Linked DNA regions of Alligator mississippiensis. The protein of the gene in region 1 purifies or fractionates together with the protein of each later gene. This does not show direct contact. Links are inferred from orthologs where the notes say so. Each region holds a gene or a part of one and is shown on either strand. Other genes may lie near its edges.

Region 1 (7,553 bases):
GTACCGCTGGTGGTACATGTACTACAGATTAGGAACCACTGTGCTACATCATGTGCGGCCGGAGGGGGGGGGGGGGAGGCCATGGTCCATTACAGCCTCTCACCAGCCCATGGCTGTAGGTAGGCCCTCCTGTCAGCACCTATCCCCTGGTCCAACGTAACTGCCCCCCCCACCCAACAATGTGCCCAATTGCGGGAATCCCTACCTACAATGTAGGGCTGTGCATGATCTATCCCTGGATCCTCCTGCTCTGGCAAGGGCATCTGCAGGGACATGAGTGCTATGAGACCCACAAAGCAGTGCCAGGCACTCAGGGGTCACTCCCAGCCTAGCCCCTGCATCCCATCCCAAATAGCCCAGCTCTGGGGCACTTGGAGGTCCCCGCCCAGACCATCCCTGGTGCCTGTCCCAGCACCAAATCTCCCTGCAAAAAGGGAAGGTCTGCCTTGTCTCCAGCCTCAACCTTCCCTGCTATAGTGCAAACCCATTGCTCCTTCTCTCGTCTCCTGTGGGCAGAGTCCATTCCCACCCACCGTAGACCACCCCCCCCCCCCCCCCCCGCCACCCCAGCAGGGCTGAGAAGCCTGGTACCCCCCCTCCTCCCCCACCAGAGACCACAGGGTTCGTGGCCTGGAGTCAGGAGGGCTCTGGGAAAGGCAGGGAAGCCAGGGATGGGCTCACCTGGTAGATGGTGACACGGGCGCTGGCATCAGCAGCGATCCTGGTTAGGCTATGCCGTGCCAGGTCAACAGGGTCACGGGGCAGGGGATCGGGCAGCGGGTAGGGGTTAATGTGCTTGAACTTTGGGAACCAGTACATGATGCGCTGGTACTTGTATGCAGGGTGACTCTGCTCCCCGAAGATCTTCAGCAGCAGGAATCTAGTCTTCTGGTCAGGCATGATGCCTGTGGGCAGGAAAGGGCGGGCACTGAGGCAGGGCTCCCTGGTGCTGGGGTGCTGCTACAGTGGGGGAAGCTGAGGCATGGACTAGCCAAGCGATGCGCCTCACTCACACCCTGAACCAGTGGTGGGATGAAACCCAGGCGTCGAGACTCCCAGTTTCTCTTGCTCTGGCCCACCAAACCCCACTCCACTCCCAGATTGGAGACAGAATCCAGGTGTCTGGGCTGAGCACCCCCTGCTCTAGCTCCTCCTTCTCCAACACTGATGGTCTTGGTCTGCAGGCTGAATCCATGGAGGGTGCGGACAGCCTTGCTGGCACTGTTGGGGAAGAACTCAGGTGTCTGGGCTCCCAGCCAGCCCTTTCCCTAGCTCCCCACCCTCTCCCAAAGGAAGACTAGAACCCAGGCGTCCAGGCTCCCAGCACCCACGTTTTAACCCACCAGATCCCGCTCCCCTCCTATAACTGGGATGGAACCCAAGTGCGCTGCCCCACCCCTTCTGCTCTACCTAACCAGCTCCCTGCTGTCTCCTAGACTGGGCCCAGGTATCTGGACTGCCAGCCCTCACTGCTCTAACCCACTGGGACAGAATCCAGGTATCCTAGCCCTAGCACCTGCCTTCTCTAACCTACCAGACCTTGCTCCCCGCCTACAACTGGGATGGAACCCAGGTGTCTGGGTTCTCAGCCCACCTTGCTTTAACACGCCCAGCCTCCCAGTTCCTTCCTACAACTGGCATATAACCTGTGTCCTGGCCTCAGCCCCACCTCCTCTAAACCACGCATCCCCATGCCCTCCAAGACCCCCAGTAGCTGGCCGTACCATAGGTCTCCATCTGCTCGAGCACCTGGATGCCGCACAGCTGCTGGCGCGGGTAGTGGTGGAACATGCGCTGGATGTAGTTCTGGGGCACAAAGACACCTTGGGGGAAAACATCTAGCAGGCAGTTGTAGGCGTCAAGGTCACGCTCCACACCAAAAATCACCATGTGCCGCAGTGCTGTGTATATGAACTCCACATGCTCGCGGCGTCGCACGTCCCGGTTCTGGAAGGCCTCCACCACCTGGCACCAGGTTGCCTTGCTGCGGCCCTGCTGGGCCGCCTGCCGGAACATGTTCTCAAAGGGCACCAGCTCCCGCGGTATCTGCTCCCCATCTCCATCATCCCCAGGCCTCAGGGTCAGCTTCGAGCCACTGCTACAGCCACGCAGGGGCCCTGTCCAGAAAGCCTGCAGAGCACAGAGACAGCAGGGCACAAGGGCCGCCCGCACGAGCCCCTGCCCTTCACCCTCCGTCCTATCTCAAACCCTTCTACTCCCCACCACCCCTGGTATCTCAACATGCCCTCTCCTTGCCCTGGGGTGGATAACCCAGGACAGGGTAGCTCCCTTATGTCATGAGTCTGCTGAATCTCTATAGCCCCACATGCTACCCCAGCCTCCTCCACTGCCCCCCCTACCAAGCCCCTACCTCACCCCACCTCAAACCCAGCCCCCTGCACTGCCCCCAGTACCTGAACACAGCCAGGGCTCTGCAACCAGGTGTAATCCCGCCCCAGCGCTGCCCTCCACAGTGTGCCCCGGGCTGCGGCGAGCAGCCACATGCTGTTCATGGTGGGGTTTTAGGGACCCGCGACAGGTGCAGGAGCTGGGTCACACTTAGGACAGAGCCAAATAGTGCCTGGTTTAGCCATGGAGGGCCCTGGCTCGGCCATACCCCCCCAGGATACCCTGGCTTGGCACGCACATGTACACACAGTGCAGGCACGTGCATCCTGCGTCCACACTCCAACCCTCCTTCAAACCAACCAACATGCAGCCGAGAGTTCCCTGCTCTCCCAGCGCCCCCGGAGAGGCCCCACTCCCTGCCCCCAACATGCTCGCTGGCCTCAGGACACTCCAGGCAAGACCCATCCCAATAGCCCTCACCTCCGAACAGGACCCCTGCCTCGCTGAATCCCAACTCCGCACCCCAGCCCTGCAATTGCCCCCAAGACAACCAAACCGAACCTCACCCTAAGCCGCCATCTTGACCCCGCTGCCCTCCCCCAACGGCAACCAATTCCGGTGCACAGAGAGGGGGCGGAGCGAGCGCGAGAAGACGGAGCCAATCAGAGCGCACCGCCCCTCAGCGGGCCCCCGCCCCCGCACAGAAGCCCCGCCCCTCTTCGCCAGGGGGCGGGGTACCCGGACGTCTGGGTCCCTCCTCCCGCAAGCCTATCGGCCTAGTGCCTCAGTTTCCCGGTGACCCGGCCCGCTCCCGCCCCCACCCAGCCGGTCGGAGCCTGCCCAGGGCCACCGGGAACAGGCTGCCGCGCCCCGCCCGGCGCGGGGGTGAGCGCCCCCGCCCAGCGCACAACCACCGCCGGAGAGGGCGGGTGGGAAACAGAGGCATCCGTGGGGCTGCGCGTTTGGGCTGCATCTCAGCACCCAGGCGTCCGGGCCGGGCCCCTCGCCCCCCAGATCCAGGCGGGAACTCAGGCGTCTGTGTCCCGGTCCCAAAGGGCCCCCGCCCCGCATCCGGGCAAGGTGCCCTGGGGACAGCCGGCGCCGCCGTGACCACTAGACCCCACTCCCATCCCAGAGCTGCGAAAGAACCCAGGCGTCCGGCCCCTCCCCTCATCCAGGTGGTGCCGCACCCCGGGAACCTGCCTCGGCTCGCGGGGAAGGGGCGGAGCTATCCCAGGAGGTGGGCGTGTCCTGCGTGGGGATTGGGTGCAGCGCCCCCACTCCCCCTCCCAGCTGGGGTGGGGGGGTCTCTATGTGGTAGTGGCGGGGCTGTACGCGTGGCCGGGACTCGTGTGACGCAGGAGCGGGCAGGTGGGTACACCGTGCCGGGGGCGGAGCGGTGGTGGGGTGGGAAGCCTGAGCCCACATGGGAGGAGCCCCGCACTGCCGTTCCCCCACCCCACGCGTGACACCCCCGGCTCTGGGATGTTCCCCGGATTACCCGCTTGGTGCCCGCCCACCCCCCGGAGCCCCTCACCCCGCCCAGTAAGGCCCGCGCGTGACTCGGGTGGGAGCGACGTGGACTGGAACGGGACCTCGGGCCTCATTTGCATAACAATTAATATTAAACAGCCAACCCGCCCACGCCATTGGCCGTCCAGTCCCTCATTAGAATATTCCGCTGTTAAACAAAAAAGCCCCCGCGCACATTTTTCGCCAACCCCTTATTTAAATATGCAAGGAGCTCCCGCAACCGCTGTCTTTCATTTGCATACGATCACTATGCAAATAATGTGCCGGAACAAATCACGGCTCATCGGGATTCTGCGCCTTATTTGAATATCGGCTCGTGTCAATAGCTTTTTGGCTCCTCATTTGCATATGCAATCAGCGCCCCCCCTCATTTTCCCCTGTCACTGCCAAATCCAGGCCGCGGCCAATAAGCAGTTCCGCGGGTGCATATTAATTAGACCAACGAGGCGCTGCTCTCAGCGATTGGTCCGGCACCCGCTCCCAGTTCCCCACGCGGGAATGCAGGGCCGCGCTGTATTTGCCTGTCAGTGAGGTGTCATTTGCATAGATTTGCATACAGCAGCAGTGACAGTGGCCTGTTCCCCCCCCGTGGCCACACATACACGATCCACGCGGGACTGGGGTCATGCGGCGCAGGCGGGCGAGGCGGGACGCGGCGGTCCTGAGCCGGCACCAGCTCGTCCGCCGCCGTGTGTGGCAATAGCCCGCCTGGGGCAAGTCACGTCACCGGGTGGGACCCAGGCGTCCGGGCTCCCAACCCCCCCCCGCCCCGCCCCGCAGCCGTGGCCTTTGCTCCCGGGGGATTATCTCCGCTCAACCCCGCACACGTGGCCGGACAAGGGTCGCCGGGTCTCGGTGACAGCGATGCAGGGCTGGGAGGACCCTGGGTCCTCTGGGCGGCTGGGAGCACGTGGGGGTCTGGGAGCCCGGACTCCTGGGTTCTGCCCCGAGCTGGGAGAAAGGGGTAGAGGGCGGGGTGGGGCTGAGGCCGAGGGCTTCTGGGTCCTTTCCCCAAGCCGAGGAGGGGGCTGAGGTCCGGGGGAGGGAGGGGGCAGCACCGGGCTGGGCGCCAGTTGGGCCCTGGTCCCAGGAGGTCCCCGCCCCCCACCCGGGCAAGGCTGGCATCTCCGCGGCGCTGCCGCTGCCCTGGGGACACCGCGGCTCCGGCTGCCCGGGAGAGCGAGAGCCAGGGACCGTCGGGGGTGGGGGCGGCTACGGGTCCGGAGTGAGGGGCATCAACAGCTCTAAAGAGGGTGCTGCAGGTTGGGAGTGAGGGGTCCCGCGGGGCTGCGAGTCAGGAGTGAGGGGCCCCGCCGGTCGGCGCTGACGCGGGCCCCCACAGGCCCCCCGCCATGGAGGACTCCACTCGTTTCGGCTACTGCGTGGTGGCCGCCAGCTTCGTGGGCTTCCAGTTCTGCTTCTCGGCCGTGAGCCCCCGGCTGTCGCTGGCGCTCTGCCCCCCGTACTGCGCGCTGCCCCCCGCCCGCCGCATCGAGTGGGACTCCAGGTACCGCCCCTCCCCCGGCCAGGATCGGGCCCCCGGAGCCAGTAGAGAACCCAGGTGTCCGGGCTCCCTGGGCCCGAACGTCAAGGGATGTCGCGGGGGTGACCTGTCTGTCCGTGACATCCCCGCGCTGCCCCCAGGTGCGTGTCCACTCTCCACGCGCTGCTGGTCGGGAGCTTCTGCCTCTACATCCTCTGGTACGACGCGGCCGTGAACGCGGATCCTATATGGTGAGACCCCCCCCCCCGCCCCCCAGTGCCCCTCATTCCCGCCTCGCAGACCCCCCCAGCCCTGGTAATGCCCCTCACTCCCGGTCTGCAGCCCCCTGCCCCCCCCCAGCCTTGCCAGTGCCCCTCACTCCCGACCCGCAGCCCCTCGCTCTGTAACCGCAGCCAAGTCCCCGAGCCGGGCAGCTTTCCCAGGCCCTCTCTGCCAGCCGTGGCAAGAAGGTGGGGAGCGTGGGAGGAGGTGCCAGGCCTGGGCGGGGGGCGGGCGTCACATGGCACCGCGGGCATGAAGAGCCGTTTTGTGCTGGGAAAGAAAGAGCTCCTTGTTCCCGCGGCCGGAGTTGACCGGGGGGGAGGACGGAAGGGGGGGGGGGGCAGGGGCCTGGCATTGAGGGGGAAGCTGGGACTCCAGGGGGTGTACTGTCGGTCCCTGCGAGCTGCCGTCCATGAGCTCACCCCCCCCCATCCTGTGCCCGCAGGGGCGACCCCCGCCTAGTGAAGCTGAACGTGGCCATCATCAGCGGCTACTTGCTCTATGGTACGTGCCCCCCCCCCCACCCCTTGGAGCTGAGGGGTCCCCCCCTCTGAAGCAGGTCTGAGCCCCCCCTCCGGACCCCAGAGCAGCCGGGGGTGTTTGCAAGGGCTAGACCCAGGGGGGTGACCCCTCCTTCTCACTCCCGCCCCTAGACCTGCTGCTTCTCGGCCGCTACTGGAAGACGATGGGAGACGCGCTCTTCGTGTGTCACCACGTGGCGGCGCTGTACGCCTACGGCTACGTGCTGGTCAGTGTGGGGGGGAAGGGCTGCGGGTCAGGAGTGAGTGTCACCGGCTGGGGCAGAGGGAAGGGAGCAGCGGGCTGCTGGTCGGGAGTGAGAGGCACGTTTCAGCCCGTGGGGGGCTGTGGGTTGGGAGCGAGAGGTACCGGGTCCTGGAGGGGCTGGGCAGGGGCTGACGGTGTCCTTCACCTCCAGAACCGCGGGGTGTTACCGTATTTCGCCAATTTCCGCCTCCTCTCCGAGCTTTCGACCCCCTTCGTAAACCTGCGGTGAGTTTGGGGGCATCTGGCCTGGCCCGTCCTACAGCCCCCTCCCCAGCTCTGCTGCCCCTGGGCGGACCTCGCTCCAGTCTGGGGGAGTCACTTCTCTCCCCCAGCACCAGGCGCAGGCTCTCAGCAAATTCAGACAGCGAAACCCCGCCCCCTTTCTCCTCAGCCAATCCCCTGGCGCGGAGGAGGGGGCGGGTCTTCTTAAAGTGACAGAGCCCCCGTTGTGGCAGGTGGTTCCTGGAGGCGGCAGGGTGGCCGCGGGGTTCGGGGCCGGTGCGGGCCAACGGGGTGGCCATGGCCGTGGCCTTCTTCTCTGTGCGCATCGCAGTCATCCCCACCTACTACGCCCGCGTGCTGGCCTGGCACGGCACGCCCGAGTACGCCCGCCTGGGCCCGGCCGTGCAGGCCGCCTGGATCGGTCCCAGCCTGGCCCTGGAGGTCCTCAACCTGGTCTGGATGTACCGCATCCTGCGGGGCGTCTACCGCGCCTGCCACGCGCCCCGCAAGCAGCTCTGACCGGGGACCCTCGCGCCACCCTTCCCCCCCCCACCCCCCGCAATGACCCGGACCAGCATCCGCGGAGCCTGGGGGCGTCTAAACTGGAATTGCCCCTGGGAGCACCTGAGTTGAGTTGGAATTACCCCTAGTGGGGGGCATCTGGCTAAAACTGTCCCCCCCCCCGGGAAATCTGGATTGGAATTACCCCCCTGAGGGCATCTGGGCTGGAATTACCCCTCTAGGAGCATGAACTGCTCCCCCCAGGAAACTCTGAATTGGAATTACTCCTCAGGGGTATCGGGGCTGGAAGTGCTCCCCCCCTGGGCCTTCTAGGCTGGATTTACCCTCCCAGGCATCTGGGCTGGGATTACCTCCCCAGGGGGCAACTAAATTGGAA
Region 2 (7,698 bases), on another chromosome or scaffold:
CCCCACTAAGTCCTCTGCTGCCTGTGGACTCCACCCTGCCCGCCTTTCCCCCCGCCCCACTCCCACCCCTGGACAGCCTGCTGTGCAGGGAACCCAGGTGTCTGGGTTGCGCACACACGCACACACAGATGTGCATGCACACACGCACAGATGCAGACACACACGTGAGCATGGAACCCAGGCGTCTGGAAAATCCCCGCCCTTCCCCATCCCAGTTCTCCCAGTCTCCCCCCAGTGACCTGATCCCAGTGCCCCCATCCTAATGCTTCCCACCACAGTGCCTTGTCCCCTCCATGCCCCTCATCCCAGTGCCCCAGTCCCCCCATCTCAGTGCCCCATCTCACTGCCCCCAGTGTCTCATCACAATCCCTCCCACCCCAGTGCTTCCAGTGCCCCATCACAATCTCCCCACCCCAGTGCCCTCATCCCAATGCACTCAGTGTCCCATCACAATCCCCCGTCCCAGTGCCCCCAGTCCTCCCAATGCCCCATCACAATCTTCCCCACCCCCATGCCCCCAGTCACCCTAGTGCTCCCCATCTCAGTGCCCCCATTGCAATGTCCCCCACCCCAGTGCCCCCATTCCCCCCAGTGCCTGCACTCACAAAGCACATCAAAGGTGGCTGGGAGGGACTGGGTGGTGCCCAGCTCATTTCAGGCCTCTCAGGCGTAGGCACTGCAGTGCTGGGGGCCGGCACTCAGCTCCAGCACAAACCCGGGCAGAGGGGTGATCATTGTGGTACCAGGCCCAGGCGGGTGCAGGGCAGCCCCCGCCTTCCCTTCCCCGGTGCAGCTGAGCCGCACACCCGTGACCTCCAGCACCTGCCCCTAGGGCTCCAGCACCAGCTACACAGCCTCCAACGGGTCTGCAGGCAAGGGGAGGGTTTTAGAGGGGTGGGCAGGGCCTGTGGGTGCCTGGGTTTGGTGAAAGCCTGAGCCTGGTAGTGCCAAGGATGAGGCCTGAGCGTGCTGGACAGGCTGGGGGAGTGGGGCTTGGCGTGATGGGTAGGGCCTGGGGTGGGTGAGAGCCTGCACCTTAAATCAGAAGAGGTGGGGCTTGAGGATGACAGACAGGCAGAGTGGGCGGGACCAGGGAAGCAGATGCCAGGCTTGGGCAACAGCCTGAACCCAGGGCTACAAATGGGATGGGGCTTAGGCTGATAGACAGGTCTGTAGCTGCCATTTTCCTGCTTTCCTGCCCACTGGCCGCTCTGGCATTACGTGGTTCCTGGCTGCATTGCTAGATAGCGGGAGCACAGGGCCCACACCAGTACCCCGGGGCCTGGAACAGGAGTTGGGGGTAGGGGGCAGTTTGCCTGCACACATCCATGCAGTGAGAGAGGGGGAGAGAGAGACAAAGCAATGACAGAGTATGCGTGTTTATAGGGCAAGTCACACACCCCACTATATACATACACCCACCCTCGCTTGCATTGCCATACACACAGACCCCCACACCCACTCCCCCTCCCACATCTCTGCCACCCTCTTCCCCACACACAACCTCCCACAAACCCCAAACCCACCCACACCCCACATATCCACATACACCCACATGCTCCCTCACCCCACGCCTATCCACCCCCACAGAATCCTCCCACCTCCACCCTCCCCCACACCCCGCATACCCACAGCCCCCCACAAATCTATATGCACCCCCTGTGCCCCACCCAATAGACAACCATAAGACTTCATTTTAAGCTATTATACAATCACCTCTGTGTAGACTCAGCAAGCACATGTAAATCAGGACAAAAATATTTTTGAAACCAAATTAATGCATGTTTTCAATGTTTGATTTTTAAACTATAGTTTGGTACTTTTCTGGTTCTGAGATGGCAAAACCCCTTACTGAAAGGACAGACAAGGTTCTTTTGGAGGCAAGGGGAAGGACTTGTGCATAAACGACCCGTGCCCCTGGCAGCTGGTGGGGCACAGTGGCAGGGGGAGCATGGCGACAGCAATGGGAGGACAGTGGCGGTGAGCGGGGAGCTCCTGCAGCTGCCACCGGCAGCATTGGCGGCAGCCCATGGGGATCGCTGACCGCCCACAGACGCCACTGGCAGTGCCGGCGGCAAGGTGGTGAATGGCAACCACCTGCAAGCACCTTTTTGGAGGGGATGCACTGCCATGCTCAGGGGGTGCATGTGCACCTGCGTACACCCCCTAGGCATCACCCCTGGACTTCTGGTGGCAGGCGGCAGGACTTCCAGTCCCAAGATGATGACCAGGGGGCGGGGCACCTGTTAATGGGTGGGGCTACCCATGTGGCCCTCAGCAGCTTGCCAGAACCCGAAAATAATTGCCCGCCCCTGGTTTAGATGCTGCAGCTGTCTATGTTGGTTCCCCCAACACCTCCCACTACCTCCCCCACCCACCTAAACATACCTGTAGGGGGCGCTGAGGCAGGGAATCAGGGGTCAAGTGAGGGGAACCAGCAGGGCTGGGACATAGGCGAATGGTGCCACCTTAGCCCAAAATCACTTACTGGGTTGGACTCGGGTGCTGGGAGTGCCTGTGGAGGCTTGCCATGGCCTGAGATGCGCCCAGCTCTGGGGTGGAACTGGCGGGAAACAGTCAGTGACCGTCTGGGACAGGAAGTGGGGACCTCGGGCCAGACACGGCTGGGGCAGGTGCTGTCATGGGCAGATGTGGAAGTGGCCCAAACCAGGGCCTAAGCAGGATTCAGCCTCTCCCTGCTGTTAGGAGAGAGATCCCAGGTGTCTGGGCTTGCACAACCCCCTGCTCTCACCCACCTGCCCCTGTTGCCCAGAGATCCCAGGCGTCCGGGCTCCCAGGGGATAGAAGGTGCATGTGTCCAGGCCCGCTTGTTAGACCCGAGGCTGCTCATGGTGCCAGACTTTTAATCGCTCCCTCTAGCGTCCATCCATCCATGCCTCCCTCCCTCCCTCCATCCATCATCCATCTTTATATTCATTCACTCCTCCATCCCCAGAGGCCCCCCCTCTTCATCTGTCCATCCATGCATGCTCAGATGCCTTCTTCAGATGCGGGTCAGGAGTGACGGGGCAGGGCTGGGGGGAGCAGGGGCTGCGGGTTGGGCGTGGGGGGCACGGGCTCACCCCAGCCCCGGCCCTTCCTGCTCTGTTGCAGGATACGTCTGGGGACGAAGCAGCCAGAGGTGAGAGCTCAGCCCCCACACGGCCGCCCGGATGCGACCTGGACCCCCGTCCGGCCCTGCTACATCGGGGGCCTGGTATCTCAGCCCAGCCTGGTATCTCCTCCCGCTCTTCTGCCTTGATTAGCCCCATGGCCACGAGCAGGGGCTGGGTCTCCCCACTGTGTCCCCCCTTGGCGCGATGCTCAGGAGCCGCTCAGGGTCTCTGGGGACAAAACATAGGAGGCTTCAGGAAAGATGGAGCCGCAAGGGCCCCTGTATATGTAAGAGGGCAGCAATGTGCTGGTTCCCCTGTTTTGGAGCTGATTTCCTTTCCCGGTCACCATCAAAAACCTCCTAAATGCTTGCGTTCGGCTGCATCTTTTAGGAAGTCAAGAGAAGAGGGGAGTTGTTGCGTGTTTGCAGCTCTGGCCGAGAGGGGGCTGGTGCAGGGTACCATGAAACAATGGAGAGAGGCCGAGAGAGGAGCGTGTGGGACTAGGCAGGTAGGTATGTGCATAGGTGGATGGATGGATGGATGGGTGGATTGACGTAGCGCAGAAGGTGGGCTGCATGGGGATGGATGGGTGGGTGGATGAGTAGATAAATAGACCGATAGACGTGTCGGTGGGTAGAAGGACGAGTGAATAGACGTGTATAGGAGCAGATCGGTGAGACGGTGTATCGGTGGCTGGAGAGAGAGGTGGGGAGCGGGGCGGGGCTCGGAGCAGGCAGGCCGGGCGGGAGCGGGTCCGTGGGCTGTGGCGCGGGGGGAGGCAGCCGGATCGGGGTCTCGGGCGGCAGGCGAGGTCCCGGGCCCCATAACATCCACTGTGGGGGCCACAACGATCCTAGCTGGTGCTCTGACATCACAGCGAGTGTTATGTCATCCCCTGGGCTGCAATGTCATCTTGGGTATGACCTCATCAGCGCAGGGCTTTGTGACGTCACCCACGGCGCTGTGGCATCATGAAGGCACCCACAGTGCTGCTCCCGTGACAGAGCCAAGATGGCCGACCTTGCGGTTGCTAAGGGCAACAAGTATCATTCCCCGCCTTAGAACCACCCAAGCCCCAGTCGTTCTCGAGGGTTACATTAGGATTGGACTAGTGCCATGTCAATCAAATCGAGTGGCCAATTATCTGAGAGAGAGGGCGGGCGCTGGGACACGGAGTGCCGTTTTCCTCCCCCAATAGAGTGTAAGTGAACGGAGATTGACAGGAACTATCTAGCCAATGAGAAAGCAGAGGCGGGAATTCAGAGGGACGCAACCAATAGGATTTAAAGGAAGGTGGGGTACTTTGAGCTCTCGCCCAATGGCGTTGTGGAAGAGGCGGGTGCACTGGCCCCAAACCCAATGGCGCTTGTAGCGCAGAGGGGACGGACCAAGTGTCATCCAACCAATTAGAGCGCGGGCTGGATGTGGCTGACACACCCCTTCGGCCAATCACATCAGGGGAAGCGGGGAGACACTCTAAGTGACCGCCAGCCCAGCCAGTGATAAGAGAGAAGGGCAAGACAGGGGCCCCGGCCCAGCCAATCAGCGCGGGGCCACCCCTGCAAGGCGGCTAAGGCGTCCCCGCGGCTCTTCAGTAGCTGGAGCCGGGAGCAAAGATGGCGGCGGCCGACGGCGACGACTCGCTCTACCCCATCGCGGTGCTGATCGACGAGCTCCGCAACGAAGACGTACAGGTACCGGCGGCGTCGGGGCCCCTTAGGCCGCACCGGCGTCCGCCATCAGCCCGGCGCTCAATCACGCGCCGCGTCTCATTGCCGCAGCGTGGTTCGGGGCATGAGAGGAGGTGCCTCATTGGCCGCCGGCGCCCCTCGTTGGAATGAACGCGGGGGGACCGATGTGGGGGGGCTCGTCTGAACCCCGAAACCCCTTCGGGGGAATGAGGAGCCCCTTGATTGGGCGGAGCAGCGCCTATCGGGGCGCCCCTCACTCCCTGGATCCTCTTCGGCGTGAGAGGAAGCCCCTGATTGGCTCAGAGCTTCGGACTGGGGTCAGTGAGGGACGCTGTTTGTTGTCGAATCCTGCATTGTCTTTTGTGGGATGGGACGAGCCCCCTGATTGGCTGGCATCCCCCATTCATTCCCGTGAGACCCCTCATTTCCTTTTGGGGGAGGTGCTGAGAGCAGTTTCTGATTGGTTGTTTGCTGGAGATTATAGAACCTATTGGGGGGCCTGATTTATTGCATTGAGGGAACAAAGTGTGTGTGGTGGGGGGGGGGGACAGGATGAGAGGAGTTGACTGATTGGTTCTTCCTGTACCCGTACCCCTGTACCTCTATGGGGGCCAATTGGAGGGGCTGTTTCACACTAGGGGTCCTTTTGAGGCGGGGGGAGGGGGGGTGATTATAATGGGTTCCTGCCTATGAATGGGTGGTGTAAGGCTCCTTCTTTTTAGGTGGGGTGGGCAGAGCCTATGGGACCAATCCTGGCTTGTTCCCTGTGGTAGATCCATCCTAGGAGCCAATCAGAACCTTTCTCGGTGTCACGCCTGGTCTGGTTGACTGCAGGAGGCTTCCTCAGCTGCCAATGACAGCCTTTCCCCGCTCTCCTGGCATTCCCTGCTATTGGCTGGGATCCCATGGTATATTCCTGCAGGGCGGGGCTTGTAGCAGCCAATCGGAGTTTTCAGCCATAAAATGCAGCCTTCTCAGCCGCCCGCCCCTCCCCGGGATGGGGGCGTGGCCGGCAAGGCTGTCCCACCTGGTTGGCTGGAGCAGAGGTTGCTATGGGGGAGGCAAGTCCTCCCCACGGTCTGTGGGGGGAGGGCAAATATACCCCCCACCCCTGGGGGGGGCAGTTAGGGGATCTGCCCCAGTGGGTGGGGCTTCTGGGGTGGGTGGGGCTATATGGGACTGGCTGGGCAGGTTGGACCAGCTGTGACACAGGAAGGGGCGGAGCCATGCAGGGGCAGGGACCTGGTCTGTCGCAGGACACCCAGGTTCTCTGCCCGGGGCCTAGGGCAGAGCTGAGGGTGGGGCCCGGACGCCTGGCTTCTCTCCAGCTCTGCGGGGGGACACGCACATTAGAGCCCCCGGCTCATCCTCAAACCTGAATCAATGCGCCCCTCCCCCCGCCATCCCCAATCACTCCTGACCCGCAGCCCCCTGTCCCCCAAACCTAGCTGGTGCCCTCAGGCCTCCCCTCCCCTCCTGCCGTAGCAGGGACCTGGTGCCCCCCGTGTTTAACCATTGATGTGCCAGCCGGGCCTCAGTGCCCCCGTGACCTCAAGGAGCCTTTGCCCATCCCCTGTGATCCCCACTCTCCCCACAGCTCCGGCTGAACAGCATCAAGAAGCTGTCGACCATCGCGCTGGCGCTGGGCGTGGAGCGCACCCGCAGCGAGCTCCTCCCCTTCCTCACAGGTACCCACAGGCCTGGGTTCTCTGGGAGGGGGGAGAGGCTGGGGGGTGACAGTCCGGGGTGCTGGGAGCCTGGATGCCTGGGTTCTTCGGGGGGGCAGAGGATCAGAGCAGGGTTGGGGGGCTCGGACAGCTGGATTCTTCGGTTGCTGTCAGCAGCCTCTGTCCCTCTTCTCCCCCCGCAGACACTATCTACGATGAAGATGAAGTGCTGCTGGCACTGGCCGAGCAGCTGGGCACCTTCACCGCCCTTGTCGGGGGGCCCGAGTATGTGCACTGCCTGCTGGTACGTGCCCTGGTTGCCTGGGTTTTTTGGGGGGTGGGGGGGGATGGTCCTGGGAACTTGGGCAGTGGAGCATAGTTGGGCAAGGGTGCCCGGATGCCTGGGTTCAGGGCTGGCTCTGGGATTTTGGGGCATGGTCCTGGATGCCTGGGTCCTTTCCCAGCTCTATATGGCCCGTGGGCTCCCCTTGCGGGGGTGTGGTGGTGCCCCCGGACACCTGGGTCTCTGTGGCCAGGATGGGGCCGGATCTCCCAGACACCTGGGTTCAGTGTTGGTTCTGGGAGGTGGGGAGGATTCTACAGGGCCTGCCCTCCCAGATGCCTGGGTCCTCCCCTGACCTGAGGCAGAGAGGGGGCAGGACTGTTGGGTGGGGGGGCAGGGCCTTTTAGGGGGAAGTTGACCTGGATGCCTGGGTTCCCCCCGGGCCTGCCCCACCCTGCCCTGAGCTCCCGGATGCCTGGGTCCCACAGCCACCGCTGGAGAGCCTGGCAACAGTGGAGGAGACCGTGGTGCGGGACAAGGCAGTGGAGTCCCTGCGGGCCACGTCCCATGAGCACTCGCCGGCTGACCTGGAGGCTCATTTCGTGCCCCTAGTGAAGCGCCTAGCGGGTGGCGACTGGTTCACATCCCGTACCTCAGCCTGCGGCCTCTTCAGCGTCTGCTACCCCCGCGTGTCCAGCGCCGTCAAGGCTGAGCTGCGCCAGTGAGTGCCTGTCATGGAGAGGAGGGAAAACTGAGGCTGGGGGGTGGTACAACCATGGTGGGGGGGACTGAGGCAGGGGGCAGGGTGATTTGGGGGCAGAAGAGAGGCTGGGAGGGGTGGGGATGTTTGGGGGCGGCAGGGCCATGGCGGGGGAAACAGATACAAGGGGTCATTTTGGGGGAAACAAGCTGGGAGTGGGCAGAGCTGTTGGGCTAGGGCC

What was found. Proteins that work in one complex are often made in the same cells at the same time.
Region 2: the proteins of ECSIT (region 1) and PPP2R1A purify together in Homo sapiens (affinity purification with mass spectrometry; 3 studies listed by BioGRID and IntAct, with this or other methods). This does not show direct contact. The link is inferred for Alligator mississippiensis from reciprocal best matches to the Homo sapiens genes ECSIT and PPP2R1A.

The regions. Positions count from the first base shown.
Region 1 is NC_081831.1:22,519,575-22,527,127, forward strand, and holds the start of ECSIT (evolutionarily conserved signaling intermediate in Toll pathway, mitochondrial), read right to left. Parts: upstream 3,007-7,553; 5' UTR 2,916-3,006; intron 2,559-2,915; 5' UTR 2,514-2,558; coding exon 2,415-2,513; intron 2,131-2,414; coding exon 1,725-2,130; intron 906-1,724; coding exon 682-905; intron 264-681; coding exon 206-263; intron 1-205. Other genes in the region: TLC domain-containing protein 4, read left to right, coding at 5,235-5,389, 5,527-5,616, 6,093-6,151, 6,301-6,395, 6,585-6,658, 6,889-7,174.
Region 2 is NC_081838.1:29,895,007-29,902,704, reverse strand, and holds the start of PPP2R1A (serine/threonine-protein phosphatase 2A 65 kDa regulatory subunit A alpha isoform), read left to right. Parts: upstream 1-4,696; 5' UTR 4,697-4,732; coding exon 4,733-4,810; intron 4,811-6,404; coding exon 6,405-6,495; intron 6,496-6,677; coding exon 6,678-6,778; intron 6,779-7,245; coding exon 7,246-7,478; intron 7,479-7,698. UniProt on the Homo sapiens protein: The PR65 subunit of protein phosphatase 2A serves as a scaffolding molecule to coordinate the assembly of the catalytic subunit and a variable regulatory B subunit.